2 linked regions of the Caenorhabditis elegans genome follow. The protein of the gene in region 2 purifies or fractionates together with the protein of the main gene of each other region. This does not show direct contact. Each region holds a gene or a part of one and is shown on either strand. Other genes may lie near its edges.

Evidence for each region. Proteins that work in one complex are often made in the same cells at the same time.
Region 1: the proteins of acs-11 (region 2) and lro-1 fractionate together in Caenorhabditis elegans (co-fractionation; one large-scale study listed by BioGRID). This does not show direct contact.

What each region holds. Positions count from the first base shown.
Region 1 is NC_003284.9:6,268,309-6,275,908, forward strand, and holds lro-1 (Lysosome-Related Organelle protein), read left to right. Parts: upstream 1-3,780; 5' UTR 3,781-3,781; coding exon 3,782-4,045; intron 4,046-4,092; coding exon 4,093-4,224; intron 4,225-4,265; coding exon 4,266-4,352; intron 4,353-4,473; coding exon 4,474-4,710; intron 4,711-4,758; coding exon 4,759-4,854; intron 4,855-4,898; coding exon 4,899-5,083; intron 5,084-5,133; coding exon 5,134-5,377; 3' UTR 5,378-5,460; downstream 5,461-7,600. Other genes in the region: W05H9.2 (Dynein heavy chain 7, axonemal), read left to right, coding at 1-499, 545-912, 1,453-2,356.
Region 2 is NC_003280.10:4,739,507-4,748,109, forward strand, and holds acs-11 (fatty Acid CoA Synthetase family), read left to right. Parts: upstream 1-2,630; 5' UTR 2,631-2,632; coding exon 2,633-2,743; intron 2,744-2,797; coding exon 2,798-2,896; intron 2,897-2,952; coding exon 2,953-3,204; intron 3,205-3,684; coding exon 3,685-4,638; intron 4,639-5,530; coding exon 5,531-5,632; 3' UTR 5,633-5,774; downstream 5,775-8,603. Other genes in the region: Serine carboxypeptidase ctsa-1.1, read left to right, coding at 1-206; eas-1 (putative Golgi transport protein 1), read left to right, coding at 941-971, 1,019-1,110, 1,156-1,258, 1,307-1,382, 1,535-1,616, 1,664-1,705.

The DNA.
Region 1 (7,600 bases), on a different chromosome or scaffold from region 2:
ATATCACTTTCCATTCATGAAATTTCTCGCTATTGACAGAATGCAGCAGCTTGAACTTTCCTACTATCGTGCTGTCATTGTAGCTTCTAAACGAAAGGAAGAACTTGGCTTTTTGAAGAATCTCCGAATTCCATTCCCACAATCAGCTGACAACGCGAACTTGCTTGACAAAGCACTTCAAACCAACGAGACAAAGCTTCGCCAAGACTTTTGCAGGATTTTGAAAATCTTGAAGAAAGAGAGAGGCCTTGACAAGACAAGGGCAGTATTGTATATCCAGAAGATGGAGCAATTTAACGAGTTGTGTGGTGTTGTGCGAAATAAGAAGAAGAGCACCATGGATCAAATCACTCATTGTGAACCTTTCAACATTAAACCAAAGCTTCGTTTTATTGCGGTCATGGCTTCGATTGACGCATTGTTGCTTGTTATTCAGAGAGTTTATGCTCTATTCGTTGACAAGGAAAAAGGAATATATGGCGAATGCGTGCCAGAATCGGTGAGAATAATGGGTTCATGAGGTGAATTTTGTTTCAAATTTTAGGTATTACTCACAGCGGCACAACTTCTCAAAATCACGACAGTGGAGCGTTGCCGAAATGACGACATGGACAAGGAAATCTCTGGAAAACTTGAAGTTCTTCGAGTCAAAGTACACAATGCCGTCAAAAATTTCTACATTAAGAAAGAGTCTATCAACCACGGCGTTTTTGTCGAACCGGATCACGATGAAGCTGCATTGAAAAAAATCAGATTTGAGTTGACCATTTCGGAAAACGAATTCCCTCCCATTGTGATGCACCATGCTTCTCGAATGTTGTGGCATCTGAGACAACAAAAAAAGGAGTTGAAACGTTTGAATAAGGAAATTCATTTCGCAAAAGCTGCCGAACTTTTATGGCCAAAGATAGAGTAAGTTATTTTTCATCGGAGATAGGATATTAAAAGAGGAGGATAGGTTCTGGATTTTTTGGTTGCACAGATAGGCAGATGATTCAAAAAACCAAAATCAACTAGTTTCAAAATTGCATTTCTCACAAATATCTGAAAAAATTAAATGGCCTAAATTAAGCTAATATCTCCTTTTGCCAAATTTCCCGCGTCACAACTGTCCGAATTTTGCTTGTATTAAGTTATCCTTCATTATTGCATACTTTGGGCGTTTATCTCAAGTTATTTAAAGCATTTAAAACCGATGGGTATCCAAAAAGTACCAAAACTGGATTCCAATCGGCATTGTATGTACTTTAATTTACAAAATATAGTGAGAAATACACCCAAAATATGCAATGAAAGATGATAAAACAAAAAAATCAAATTCGCTCGTCTGCAACACGGAAAATGTTTTTATTTGAGCACATTTTGTTTCTAAAATACCCAGAACTAATACTCCTCTTTTCATCGGTGTTAGAATAATAATAATAATTGAATGTTAATGGAATTTTTTTTCAGTGGAGTCATGTTCCAGCTGAACAAAGTACCTGGAATCTGTGCCTTCGTTTCAAACTTTGACGATCATGTTGATCGAGAAAAAGTGAAGGAAGTAATTGCCGCATCAGAACTCGACTGGATGAACCCTGAGCCAGAGTTTCGTGCGGGTGTCGAAATTATCAACGGAATTCATCATATCATGGACAAGTATCGCGGCGTACCACACTGCGTTGAGATCCGAGCAACATTGGAAGCAGAGTTCCACGCAGAAATGCATTTTCAACGCATCAATGGGCAGACTTACAAACAACTTGCGGCTCAGTTCTCGCAGATTCTCATTCAAGAAATTGATCTCACAAATTCTAGAATCAGATATCAAACTAAAATGCAAACAGCTTACCTTGCTCACAGAATTGCCAGAATGATGGCTGGGACTTACATGGATTATGTGTGTAACAACATGAAGAACCCGCCGTCTAGATGCCGTGTAAGAACTCCAACACCAATTCCAGAAGACGATCTTCCAGAAGACACAGCTGAAGGCTCCGAAGAGGGTAGAGAATCTGAAGAGACTGGCTCGGAAACCGGATCGGATTACGCAACAGATGAAGGACCAAATGTCGGACGTCGTCGGGTTAGACGAAATGTAGAATTGGAAAGCGATGATGATGATGAAGATGAAGAGGAAGATGAAGAAGAGGAGGACGGCGTTGAGCGTCAATTTGATCCCGAGGAGGCCGCCAGAGTTGCATTCCTTCTCAATACGTTTTCTATGAATGGAAATGTCATCTTCGTGGAGAATGAAGGTGACGTAGAAGACGATCGCGTTCCAGATGACGTGATTGATAACTTCATTCGCAATGTTCGCAGAGTGCACATGGAGCCGGATATGTCTGCACCATATTTGAATATCCCACTTGATTAATATCTTTTTTCGCTGATTGAATATCATTTTGTTTTTGTTCTACATTCTTTTGTTTCCTCAAAATCTCATCACAACGTATTTCATGCTCAAAAAATTTACCATAATTCCCCACGAAATTTGTAGACGTATAATTTTATCGGATACCACATTTCCAAACTCATCATACACCCCCATCTTCAAATGTGTCTAATTTTATATTGTCCGGTTAGGCTTATTGAAACCAAAGACCTAGTGAGCTTTTTATTATCATTTCCTCTTTTGTTCCATACTCTTTCCCATTGTTTCATGACAACATCCATTGGTCAACGTTCCAAAGTGTTTGGCGCACTGAAGTACGATTTACGAATCAAGTTTTTGGTACCCCAAAAATGATTTGTTATTACTTTGAAATAGAATGCAAAAATAAATTTATTACGTCGGAAATTCATAAATTCAGATGTTTATTACTAATTCTTGTTACTAATTCTTGATCAGTTTGGAAATGTGGAGTTATATTGAAAGTTGAATATTCTGACTGTAAAATATTTTACAAGTCTCGAATTAGAACTAATTCACATGACACGTTTATTTTTAGTTCGAATGGATATTAAGAAAAGTTAAAATAAGTCAGTTTTCGATCTGAAATAAGCAGTTCATTTAGGATTAGCAAGATTAGTTTTCAATAATTTATTGACTTCAAGTAATTTATGTCAAAATTTTTCTTATGTTTTCAGTGTATCAACATATTCACATTTTTTCACATTGTGCAAACTTAAAACTGGTGAATTAAAGTTAACAGGCTTCAACTCGCGTGCCAAGTTTCGGAATGTTTTGTTTGAACCTGAAAAGTGCTGCAACTGCTAATGTAATTTCATTAGTAATTTCGGCAATTTGGGCCCGAAAATGAGCATTGCCGAAAATATAAAGTTTCAAAATTTCTGAAGATTTTAAATCGAATAGATGTTTTTTATATCAGAATGCTCAGTATTCAAGTTCAAATGTCTCAAACCTCAAATTAATAGGTAATTTTTGAAATAGCAAACGGTATCCAACATCCAACAATTACGGCCTTTGTCATGCACTTTTTAGAAATGAGCAAATGCAAAACTTTTCAAAAATTGATTTGAAATTTCCTATTTGCACAACAAGCTCAAAATTATATTGACATAAATTCCAAGTTTGTATCACGAGCATGCTCATTATGAAAGACACCAATTTCAGATCAATCTTATGATTCTAATTGTCATTGTGTTTATTTGCTCGTTCTCCATCATCAACAACATACTGGGCGGACGTTAATTTGTAGCCAACTATCAGTCAATTGATAAGATACCCCACACAATTGGTGGCTCTTTTCTTTTTGTCTGACAGTTGAACAGTCACTCTGGGTTTTTCTTTTTACAATTTGATAAGTTCTGTATTGATTTTTATCATTAACATTTTAGAATGAGAACATTCTCAGTTGCACTGCTGCTTGTCTTTTTTGCGTCGAGCGTTTCATCCGTTCGCTACTACTCCCTTGCTGACACCTTCCAGTCAGTAATTGATACGGAAAAGGCATTGGAAGAAGAACTGAGAGTTAATTTTGAAAATGCGAGAGCAGCAAGAGACAAATACCGGGAAGAGACTCAGAAGAAACTGAACGAAACGCTTTCAAAGGTATCTGATGCAGTTAAGCAGAGAGCCGATGAATTGGAAAAGGAGAAACAGGTCACAAATCAAAATTTAAATATCAGTTTTCTTATGATTTTTTTCAGGAAAAAGCTGAAGCCAAGAAAAAGGAAGCCGAAGCAGCGATCGAGAAATGGAAGGAGGTTTCTCAACAAGTTGGAGAATTCGTCGAGTCAGTTAAGGAAAAGAAACAAGCCAAGGAGCAAGAAAAACAACAGGTTACTATTTAAATTTTAAATTTTTTGGATTATTATTTCAGAAAATTGATGATTTTGTGAAAACTTTTACGGACAAAATCAAGCAAAAACAAGAAGAAAAAGAAGCACAGAGGCAGGAGCAAATTGAGGTATAAATCACAATTTATTTAAAAAATTGAAATAAGAATTTGAAGTAATGACGCTTTATTTGTATTAAGATATTACTAACTACTACTTGGTTTTTCTTTATAAATGCTCATCTTATTCTAGAAATGGAAGCAAGCCTCTGAGAAGCTTCAACAACAAAGAGAAGAGTTGAAGCAACAAATCGATGCAGCCAAACAAAAGCTTGATGAAAGAAGAAAACAGAAACTGGAGGAATTGAAAACCGATTTGGCTCAAGTCAAAGAGCTGGTAACTGCTGAGGTGAAGCGTCGCGTTGACGAGAAAAATCAACGGCTTGGCGAACAAAGAGAAAATCATGAAGCTTTAAAGCAACAGATCAATGTGAGTTTTTGGCAATGTCTTCCAACTGATTTCCCATCTTGATTTCAGGATAAACTTGCTGATATTGAGCAGCAGGGGAAGAATGTTGGTGATCAGGCAAAAACATATGAGCAGAAGAAGGATGAACTTTCGGATCTTATTCAGGTAATTTAGGGATTTTAATGTCTTCATGCAATTTTTGATATCAGGATCTAATCGGGCAAGGTGTTAAGGATAAGATGGCCAACCAAATTTCGGACAAGCTTCAGGGTCAACTTGACAAGGCAGCCTTGAAAGAAGTTTTGAACGAGAAGAAAGTTGAACAAGCTGGAGCCCCACCACCGGTTAATGAGATCCCCGTTGATATTGCTCCGAAAGCAACAATTCTTGACGAGTTAGTTACTTACTATTAGCATCGAGAAATACCTAAATCACGATTTTCAGAATCACCGGAAAAGCTGCATGGGAGACTGTAACCTGGGTTCTTCTTGCTCTGTGCATCCTTCTTTCAATCGCCTTAATCATTATCATTGTTTATCAAGTCAAACAACGCTCTGTCTACGAACGGCTCGACGGCAACAACCAGGTTTACAATCCAACATCAGAAAGAGCCCCACTTCTTCCACCACCAGCAACTCCAATAACTGCTCTACCACTGGCTCCTGCCAAAGAAGAACAGCAGTTTTAAACTTTGTTCGATAACCATGTGATTGTATTATAAAATTGTTTGCACATTGTTTTGCCATTTTTCACGTATAAATTTTTTGATTGATCCTGGTTATTATTAAAAACAAAACAAATTAAGGGAGCCTGTTAGTGTTAAAATTTGGGAACCAAAAATTATAATGCCACGTCAACTTCAAACATTTTCAAAAAACGAAATAAATAATTTCAAGAATACATATGTATTGAAAATTAAGAAGGGAACCAATTTTCTAAACAATCTCAACGGAAGTTTTTAATGAAAGTTTTGATTTTGGAATGTTTTAAAGGCAATGCACGTTGCCGTATGCACGTTGTTTAAACTCATTTACATTAATCTTACATGCAGCGAAAAAAACGCATTGAAAAAATTCAAAACATTTTTGGTGGGATGACAAATTTTAAAACAAAATTTCCGTTTTTCAAAAAACTTTTGTCGAATTCCAAAGGTTTAATATTTGCAAACCGAATAACTGCCACATTCCATCTGTAAATTTAAACAATTCAGAACATTTCTGAAAAGTTTCTCGAATTTCTCATTGGTGCTGCTTTACCTTTGCCATTATTAACTCGTCAAATTACAAAATAACTTCCGCAATCGGAGACTTGAGACTTGACAGCCGAAAACCAAATTCGATTATAACTGAACTGTACGATTTTGGTTATAGTTTGTATTTTTTTTTGTACTTTAATGACGTAAATTATCGTCATATTATTCTGCTCGATGAGCAGTTCCCAAGCATGTGATCAGTCTGTTTAAGAAATCATAGAAACATTAAGAAATCACTACAAACTAGATGATAGACATCTAAAAATATAATCAGTTGTGACTTGTGGTTGCCCTTTTATTATTATGATTATTATGGATTGTTGCACGTTGAATAAAATGACTGAAACAATATGTAATTTGAACTCGAAAATACGTTCAGAGGGATCTTTTTTTCAGAAGCATTGTAGGTAGATTTTGTAATACTTAGAAACCTATTAGCATTTGAGTATAGTTTTTTATATCTACTTGTTTCACCATCTTAAAATTCATTTTTGATTATTTCAATAGAACACATGTTATATCCTCTATTAGTTTTACTGTCTCTATTAGTTGTGCACCCCTATTAGCCTTGCACCCTTACAAGCCAATCGAAAATTAGTCTTGCAGCCTCTATCAGTATTGTAGTCTCTATTAGTCTTGCGCCCCTACGGACAAATTGAAAATTAGTATTGCAAGACTAAAAGTCTATGCAAGACTAAAAGAAAAAATACGGTAAGCTTTATCTGGAAATACTAGCGCTTAAATTTTTTTAAACCTTTTTTTTTTTCGTGTAAATAAGTTTTGTTCCATTTTATTGTTCCCTAAAATTGAAAAGATTTCAATTTCGACATACAAGGTCGATAACGTTCTTGATCACGTCAGACTTTGACATAGCTATTTGTAAAAACAGTTCCAATTACTCGATTCTTGGTATTCCTATGTAGTAGTACTACTCGTCAAACAAATTCTTCTTCCGACATGAGAAACATAAATTCGGAACGACTTCTGTGGCCTTGCCTTCTATTTTTCCATTTTCTGAGTACGATGCATCTTTTTTTGTTCTTGATATCAGTTCTATTTGACGGCCACCGTCTTAGTTTTTGTCTTGTGTTGGGCATTTGCAAAAACTACGAAAAACTATCAACGATGGAATGAAAGAAAAAAGAAATAACATTTCCTTCACTCTAACACAACTTCGGTTTCCCTTGTTTTAAAAGATGAGTGACCGACAGCCAATGAAAGCGGGTAGTAGACAGAAACAACTTACGGTGTTTGATTTACTCAAAAATAAATCAGATCACACCGAAACACAGATTCATGAAACTTGGTTAATTCTGATAGTTGAATCTAAACGTAACCTTGAAAAATGATTGAAACCCTTTTTTATGGGTGGCGGATACTAGGGTTGTAACGGAGGTATGTAATAACAGGAAGTTAACCGTTTTCTTGCCTGTGATCGTCATCAAGGCAATCTTCAATATTACAAGAAATAACTGATAGATCTCATTTGTAGAATAAACGTTCAAATGTATGTATACTGTGAAAAAGAGATATTGCAAGTAATCTATCAATCTGCAAATATTAAAAATCAGAAATTAGAAATTTCAAATCGAAGAATTTCTGGAAGATATTTGAAAAAGTTCAACTGATTTCAAAACGAGAAAATTTGTATACTTGTCA
Region 2 (8,603 bases):
GACAGCAATTCTCTGATCAACTTGGACTTCGTAGAACACTTAAAAAGACTCCATGGAAGTATGATAGACAAATCGCCGGATTCAAGACACTTTTCGATGGGCTCAGTTTCATCACTATTCGCGGAGCTGGACATATGGCTCCACAATGGAGAGCTCCACAAATGTACTACGCCGTTCAACAGTTCCTGAATAATCATCCACTTTAAATTTGGAGAACAAATAATATTTTTATCTTCTTATTTATTTTTCAATCTATTGGTCAATTTTCCAAGTTTTGAATAATGAAATTTGATTTTTAAATTTTGTGATTTTCGAATACACTGAAATATTTTTCAGAAAGCTTCCAAATAACTGTAATCGGTTTACTCATATGACGTTTGGATTAAAATTTCAAGTAATTTCGATTAATAAAACTGATGTTCTACTTATTAATACGTTGTACCTTTGGAAATAGTCAATAAATAATTGGAAAGTCTTGTTTGTTCGAAAAAATATCGATTTGAAATCTCAAAAATGCCTTTTGTGGCACTTCCAACCAACATAGTTACTTTTTGTCCAATTTCTCAATAAAAATCGTATTAATTGAGCGAAAATACTACGAATTCAAAAGTTTACCATTCAAATTTAAATTTTCCTTTTTCCCGCCGATTTTCGCTACTTCGGCCATGTGCGAGTTTCTAGGCCACGCGGAAATGCACGGCGGCCACGTGGTCCGCAATTTTACGTACACGTCATTTCCGCGGAATTTCCAGTTTTATTTTCCGATTTTTCGCTTAAATTTTTCAATTCGAGATAAAATCAGTTTCATTTGCTAAAAAGAAACGCAAATTTATTTCAAAAAATCAATAATCTTCTTCTATTTGTTTTTCTATGACCGATTCTTTTGAGAATTTAATTTTTTTCAGCCGTTTAAAAGAGAAACCACTTGGGTCCAGTCAAAATGATGAATTTCGAAGTAAGCACAACAAAACGTAAGTTTGAAAATCAGAAAATATATGTAAACTGTGAAACATTTCAGAAATCGGAGTGGGGTTAACGACGTTCGGCTTCTTTTTCATATTTCTCGGAGTGCTGATGTTCCTTGATTCTGCTCTTTTAGCTATCGGAAATGTAAGTATTTATTGTAAATTTAAAGCATAAAATTATTATTTTCAGCTTCTATTCATTGTTGGAATCACATTTATTATCGGCGTGCAGCGAACACTTGTTTTCTTCTTCGAATTCCGAAAACTGAAAGGAAGCATTCTCTTCTTCGGAGGTTCGATCACAAGGAATTCATTATTTTAATTTAAAAATTTATTTTCAGGGATTTTGGTAGTTCTATTTGGGTACCCATTGTTCGGAATGATTGCCGAGTGTTGGGGATTTATTGTCCTTTTCGGGTGAGTTTTTGACTAAAAAATGTTGAGTTTTCTAAATATTTGCAATAGAATCAATATCTTGAATTTTCTGCTCTTTTTCTTCGATTTGTAACAAACATTTTGAACTAATCGCTCACGAAATTAAATTTAATCTAATAATAATGAATTTACAGTGGTTTCCTGCCTGGAATTGTCAATTTGCTCAGAAGTATCCCCGGAATCTCAACAATCACATATCTTCCTGGAATCCGACAGGTCAGTTCTAACGAATCAGGATTTTTATCAATTATTTCAAGTTTTAGGTCCTCGATCGCCTTGCTCCAGAATCCAAGTACCCCGTCTGAAAAGTTCAGGATCTTCCCAAAAATCTCACCAAAAATGGGTTCTATTTTCTTTTTTGTTGAAAATATTTTCTCCTGTGTTGTCCCTTCTCCTCTCATATCACGTTCGGTTCAACTACGATTTCGGCCAAAATGCACATTTTCTGTGTAATATTATTCAATTTTAATTTATTTATTATTAAAAATTTTAAATTTTATCTCATTTCTAAAATATCCCTCAGCCTTTGTTGTATAATACGCTTTCATTTTCTTCTGTTCCTAGGTGAAAAATGTGATTATAATTATTTATTAGATTCCCTTTTTTCCTTTTCTTGTGTTCTGACTCGATATCCATTACATGACTCATTTCGATCAAAAAAAATGATGTTCTATGCTTGTTCTTCAGATCAAACAAATCACGTTTTCACCACCAAAGAACTCATTTCGACGAAGGTTTCTTCTCCCTTCAACCTCTTATCTTTGTTGCCATTTTTAAGAATGACAAATCGAGAATACGAGACGCAGGGCCAACAACATCTCGTTATAAGAAACGGTCAACCCGATCAATTCACGATTTTAATTCAGTTTTCTACAGCTTCCTGTTTTCAAGCACTGCAGATTTGAAACAAAAACCTTGTTTTAAACTTAGAATCTACCTGAAAAGTCCGATAAAAACTGAAAAAGTTCTTACTCGTAGAAAAAATTATTTTTAAAAGAAAAAAAATGCAGAAATTGATGAAATAAGGTTAAAAACCAAATCAAGCATTTTTGAACATCATTTTGAAATAAAAAATTGAAAATTTACGGTATTGTGCATATTTTGTGCAATTAGAATGCGAAAACTTTGAAAAAAAACTTCCAAAGTTGAATTTTAAATAGAAGTTGCCTAATTTTCTTGAATTTTTCATTTTAAAGCATTGTTTCTATTACAGAAAATTAGATATTTCAGAAATGCTCAGTCGTCTAGTCAGCTCCGTCCATCCACAAATTGGGCTCCGTGCCGCTTCTTCTGCAGCCAACAATATTGTCAGTCAAGCTCAGCTTCAATCCGATCCTTCGAAGGTTGCTATTCAATATCCTTCTGAACGTTTTTTCCATAATTTTATAATTTTCCAGCTCCTCTTTATCGATGGCGATCGCAAAACGACTTATGGAGAATTTGTTAAACGAACTGGGCAATATGCAACTGCTCTGACTGAAAAGTACAATATAAAGGTCATTTTATCTTTAAAATTGTATAAATTCAACTTTTCAAATTCAAATTTTCTCAGAAAGGAGACCGTGTGATGGCTAGAGTATCAAAAACGACCGATACAGCTGCTCTCTACATTGCTTGTCTTCAAATCGGAGCACTCTATATTCCAGTCAATCCAGGATATACTGAATCTGAAGCTGCTCACTATATCAAGGATGCGACACCTTCGATTCTAGTCTCGTGCAATGAAGAATTGGATAAAGTTTTCAGAGATAAGATCAGGGTTATCAACGAGGATAAGTTGGCATCTGAAGCAGGAAGCTTGAATGTAAGCTGGAAAATATGAAAAATTTAATAATTTTCAAAAAAAAATTCAAAATTGAAAAAACCACAAATTCCTTGTGATGCTAATCAAGAAATATAGAAAAAAATATTAATTTTACTTTACAAATTCGTGAAAACTTGAGCCTCCAGTTTAAAGGGACACGATCTTCTTCTGCTTGGGTCTCGTCACGATCTCAGCCACCGTGCAGTATCTATTCTGAACGTTTTTAGAAAAAAAAATTAAAAACCAAAATTTTGACAAGAATATTAGGAAAATAGGAAAAGTGTTTGGAGTACAAAAGTGACTACTTTTTTTTGGATTTTTCGGTATCGAAATACCGATCAAACCAAAAAACGCCGTGATCGTGCCGAGACCCACCCGGAAAATATCGTGTGCCTTTAAACTGACATGTCAAAATTAAGTCAAAAGAAAACACAATATACATACTATCCATGCCCAATATTCAAATGCAACATTTTCCAGGCATGCACCATGATCGAACATGTCGAAAAATCGGATCCCGCATCAGTTTGCTACACTTCAGGAACCACCGGACTACCAAAAGGAGCAATCTTAACTCATGGATCATTGTCTAACAACGCACATGATATTGTCCGAGACTGGGGATTTACTGGAAATGATTATAATCTACATGCACTTCCATTCTATCATGTACATGGACTCTATTATTCCCTTCATTGCTCTTTATTCTCACATTCAACAATGATTTGGCGGTCGAAATTTGAAGTTGAAGATTGTATAAAATACATGAAAAATGCGACGGTTATGATGGGAGTACCAACATTCTTTTCAAGACTTTTGGCATCAAAGAATTTCAATAAAGAAGCATTCGGAAATGTTCGAGTATTCATTTCTGGATCTGCACCTCTATCAGTATCTACAATTGAAGAATTCAGGGAAAGAACTGGACAAGTGATTCTTGAAAGATATGGTATGACAGAAGCTGGAGTTATGACTACTAATCCATTGAATGGAGAGAGAAAAGCTGGAACTGTTGGCCCGGCTGTACAAGGAGTTGGATGTAGAATTGCAAAAAATGGAGGAATTGAAGTGAAGACAAATGCGATTTTCGCTGGATATTGGAAGAATCCAAAGAAGACAGCTGAAGAATTCACTGAAGATGGATGGTTTAAAACTGGAGATGTTGGACATCTTGATGAGGATGGTTATTTGACGATTGGTGGAAGATCAAAGGATATGGTTATTACTGGAGGATTAAATGTATATCCAAAAGAACTTGAAGATTTCATTGATACACTTCCATTTGTTAAAGAATCTGCAGTTATTGCATCTCCACATCCAGATTTTGGAGAAGCAGTTGTTGCAATTGTAGTCCCGTCGGAGAAGGTGACTGATGAGAAGGAGTTTGAGAAGAAGCTTATTGGAATTATGAAGAAGAAGGTTGCCAATTATAAGGCAAGTTTTTTTATTTAAAAAATAATCCGAAATTTCAAGATTTTTGCGCTAAAAATACGGTACCCGGACACGACAAATTTAAATGAAAAAGAGTGTGCGCCTTTAGAGTACTGTAATCTTGAAATTTCGTTGCATCGAATTTTTCATCGATTTTTTTTCATATTATGTCAAAATCTGTGCGTTTTTTTCAGTTCTATAATGAACGCATATTTTTATTCAAAAAATTATAGAAAATGGGTGAAAATTTCGCAGAAACAAAAATTTTAAGCTACAGTACTCTTCAAAGGCGCACACCTTTTTGTATTTGACAAAAAAAATTTCGCGTTTGGCTAATATTTTCTGCCATTTTTATTTTTTTGTTGTGAAACTAATCAATAAATGCAGAAAAACTTTAAAAAAATTGAATTCGTCTTGCTGTTTTCAATTTTCTTTTTCATTTTTTTTCTGTGTGCGCCAAGATTACTGTAATCTCAAATTTTCGTTAACGATGATTACTTACTTATTCAGTAAGTAATTTATTAATTAGAAGCACTAAAATAAAATTATGAAAAATCCCGCAGAAACTAAAGTTTTACGTTACAGTACTCTTTAAAGGCGCACAACTTTTTGCATTTAACAAAAATGTGTCATGTCGAGACCGGGTACCGTACTTTTGCGTCAAAAATCTCATAATAATCCCCTTAAAACTTTTTTTTTGAGTTTTCAAATTTCCATCGGACACCGCAATTCTCGTTCAGATATTTGTAATTTTTCAAGTTATAACAACCTGTTTTCAATCAACTTCTATAAAAAAAACATGTGATTTTTATAAATGTTTGATAACATACCTATTCTGCAAATAGGATACAAATATTAAAATCAAATTATCAAAGCTCAATGTCTAACATTTCAGGTTCCAAAGCGAGTGATTGTACTGGATGATTTGCCACGAAATCACATCACTAAGGTCCAGAAAAACGTTCTCCGTGACACCTACAAGAACCTCTTCGCCTAATTCCATTCCCAGTCAACAATACATCCCCAAAATATAGATATCATTTTTCTATTTTCAAATTGTAAATATTTCATAAGTATTGTAGAATCTTTTGTACAATTTTTCAACTTTTAACAGTAGAAAATAACAGTTGTTTATAGATATTTTTTGTTTCTATTGTTCTCCACACACTTTTAGGACGACGTTGTCCTCCTGACCCCGTAATCAGTCAGACTATTCTTAAGATGAGAGACATTTGATTATCAGATTAACATCAATGATATTATATATCTTGGCAACATCTTACGCGGTCAGTGTGTACCCGTTTTGGACATGTTGGAATCACGTGAAGCCCGTGAGAACTTTGGCTATAAAGAGAAGTGAAAAGACAAAAAGGAAGATAAAAAACGAAAGAGTATAGTGATTTATGACACAGATTTGCCCATGGTTTTTGCGAAACTCTTTGCCGAAACTCGATGTGTGATGTGCTAAATACTGTACTTCGAAATGCTTGTCAGCTTCCTTATGGTCTCACCACGAATTTTTTTGAATTGAAACTGCGGTGTGAGCCTTTAAAAAGTACAGTAACCACTTAGCCATTATTCCGCTTTTTTTGCAAATACATGCAAAATAAATCAATACCCAAGGAAGTCACAAAATTACGAGAGGTAGGTTACTGTACAACTTAAAGGCGCTTTCGAGAAGACCCAATTCGAAATGTTTTCATCGTGGCAGCAGCGGGTATCTTAATTTTGCAGAATTCTGAGATATCCTGTTAAAGGCGCACGGATTTATTCCGAGGCCCACCTGAACGAATCCGTGCGCATTTAAGTAGATATGTCTAGGTCCTACGAATATACAATAGCGTATTTCATGATTTTTACACGTCCAACATAAGCCTAAACCTAAAGAAAAGTAAGGAAATGTACCATTTTGCAAATTTTTCTATAAATTATAAATTTACTTTTAAGGCTCCCACTGCGGGCAAGTACGTCTTCAGGCGTGTCTACCTGTTCACATGCCTACTAGGTAGGCCCCGGGCAGGCGTCGTTCGCCTTGGAGGCTGGCAAAAATTGTCCTGAAAATAAACTTACAAATCTGGAATTGTTTAAAAAAACCATCCATAAGTTCCTCGAAGTAGTTCCCCATGCACCTAGTTTGAACCTGCTGGGATCAAAAATTCCGCTGTAAAATATCCAAACGGGAGCGTGAATGAATCATATACAATTCGTCAAACATCTCTCGGTCCAAAAAAGAAATACAAAGAAAGATCTATAACACTTGTTATTTCCCCCGAACAGTGGTTAGTCGCCACCACCCACGCGTAGGAATTTCTTCGAATTTGATAAGAGAGCTATTGAAAAAGAAAAAGGCGACTTTCAACTTTCAAAAATCAGAAAAATGTGACTTCGCCTTCAAAGTGATCATTTCAGAAGTATTTTCAATTGTAGAGAGTGTACATAAAATGGAGAGACATCATGGAGACCTGAAAGTTTTATAAATGGGAGGACGATGGACGGAGTGGTCGGACCTGGACGACGACACTAGCCATTGTTTTCTTCGTTTTAGTTTTTTTTTTCTGATAGCTGATAACTATTTTTTCTTTTTGTTCATATTTTTGAATGGGTCTTGCAGCGAAAAAAGTCCTTCGCTTATTTGAAATTTATTTTTGTTCTTGCTACTTTATCTTAACATTCCGAAGTGGGTGCACAAATGTATTCTACTTTCCCGACATTTGGGCAAAAATACGGTTCCCGGTCTCGACACGACAAAAAATGTAAAAATAAATATATTCTTATCGGGAATCTATCAAAAATTGATTAGTCTTCCAAAAAGCAAAATTACAGTACTCTTTATAGGCGCAAACCTCTTCGCAATAAAACAATTTGTCGTGGCGAGACCCGGTAATATAATTACATAATAAATTTTTGGGTCCTTAAGTACGCATTTTATAAAGTTGATAAATTATAGTTTAAACTTTTGCAGTTTGAAGCTTTGCTTTCACTCATTTTTCTTAAATTTTCTTACCTTATCAATTCCCCTTCTGCAACAATAAAGCTTCTGTAGAAGCCGTAAGGTGTCAAAGTGCATAAAGTGGATTCACGTGATTCATTCACGTGCCACATTCCGATACAGTAGTCAAGTGTGTGTCACGCCCCTTTTCCCGCGCCGCCCATCCGCGCATACAAATCTCCGCTGCCACACGCATTCATTCTCAATCAGATCATCTTTGATTCGCTGTCAATGGTTCTACGATGTCTGGCTCGATTATGGAGATCGTGTAGAAATGTTTAATCTAGAAGTTGGCAAAAAATAATGAAAAATTATTGCTTTTTGATTTTGTTAATAAAGAAGCAATAAACTATAGTTTTATTCTTCTTTTTGTTGTTTTCCCGTTATAAGACTAACCAATGAAATTCCAGATTCTAACCTTGCTTAATTAATTGAGGCAAAAAAAGTGCAGTCTGCAAACATCCCTACCTCGTGTGAAGGCGCAAGGCAGGCGTTTTGGCGCCTACTTGGAAGCCCGAGATTTAACTGATTTTAGTAGATAGACAATCTTTCGTAAATGCATCAGTTTTCATTGGAATTTAACCGCGTTGGCACACCTTGTATGCAGGCGTAGGTCGCTAGGCACGCGGTAGGCGTATGGATCTTGTAGGCAGGTAGGCAGACACGTATTTTTGCTACATGTTAATGTGTCGTTCGCTCATAAACTGCCTCCTCAAATGATAACTTTTTATCTCTTTTTATATAGGTGGTCTCTTTACATCAATGACCTTCCTCGATATTCCACGTCATTATTGTTTTGTTTAAACATGAAATTCAGTAAGTTAAAGGTGAACATGTGACTTGTCTTTAAAAGTTGTATAAAAGATGTCGTCAGGCGTAGGGAATTTTCAGTTTAGTGTCTGAAAGGACTTCCAACTTTTAACTAGTTATTTTTAGGGCATTAAATGTGTCTAGTGGGACTACAAAAAGTTGTCAAACT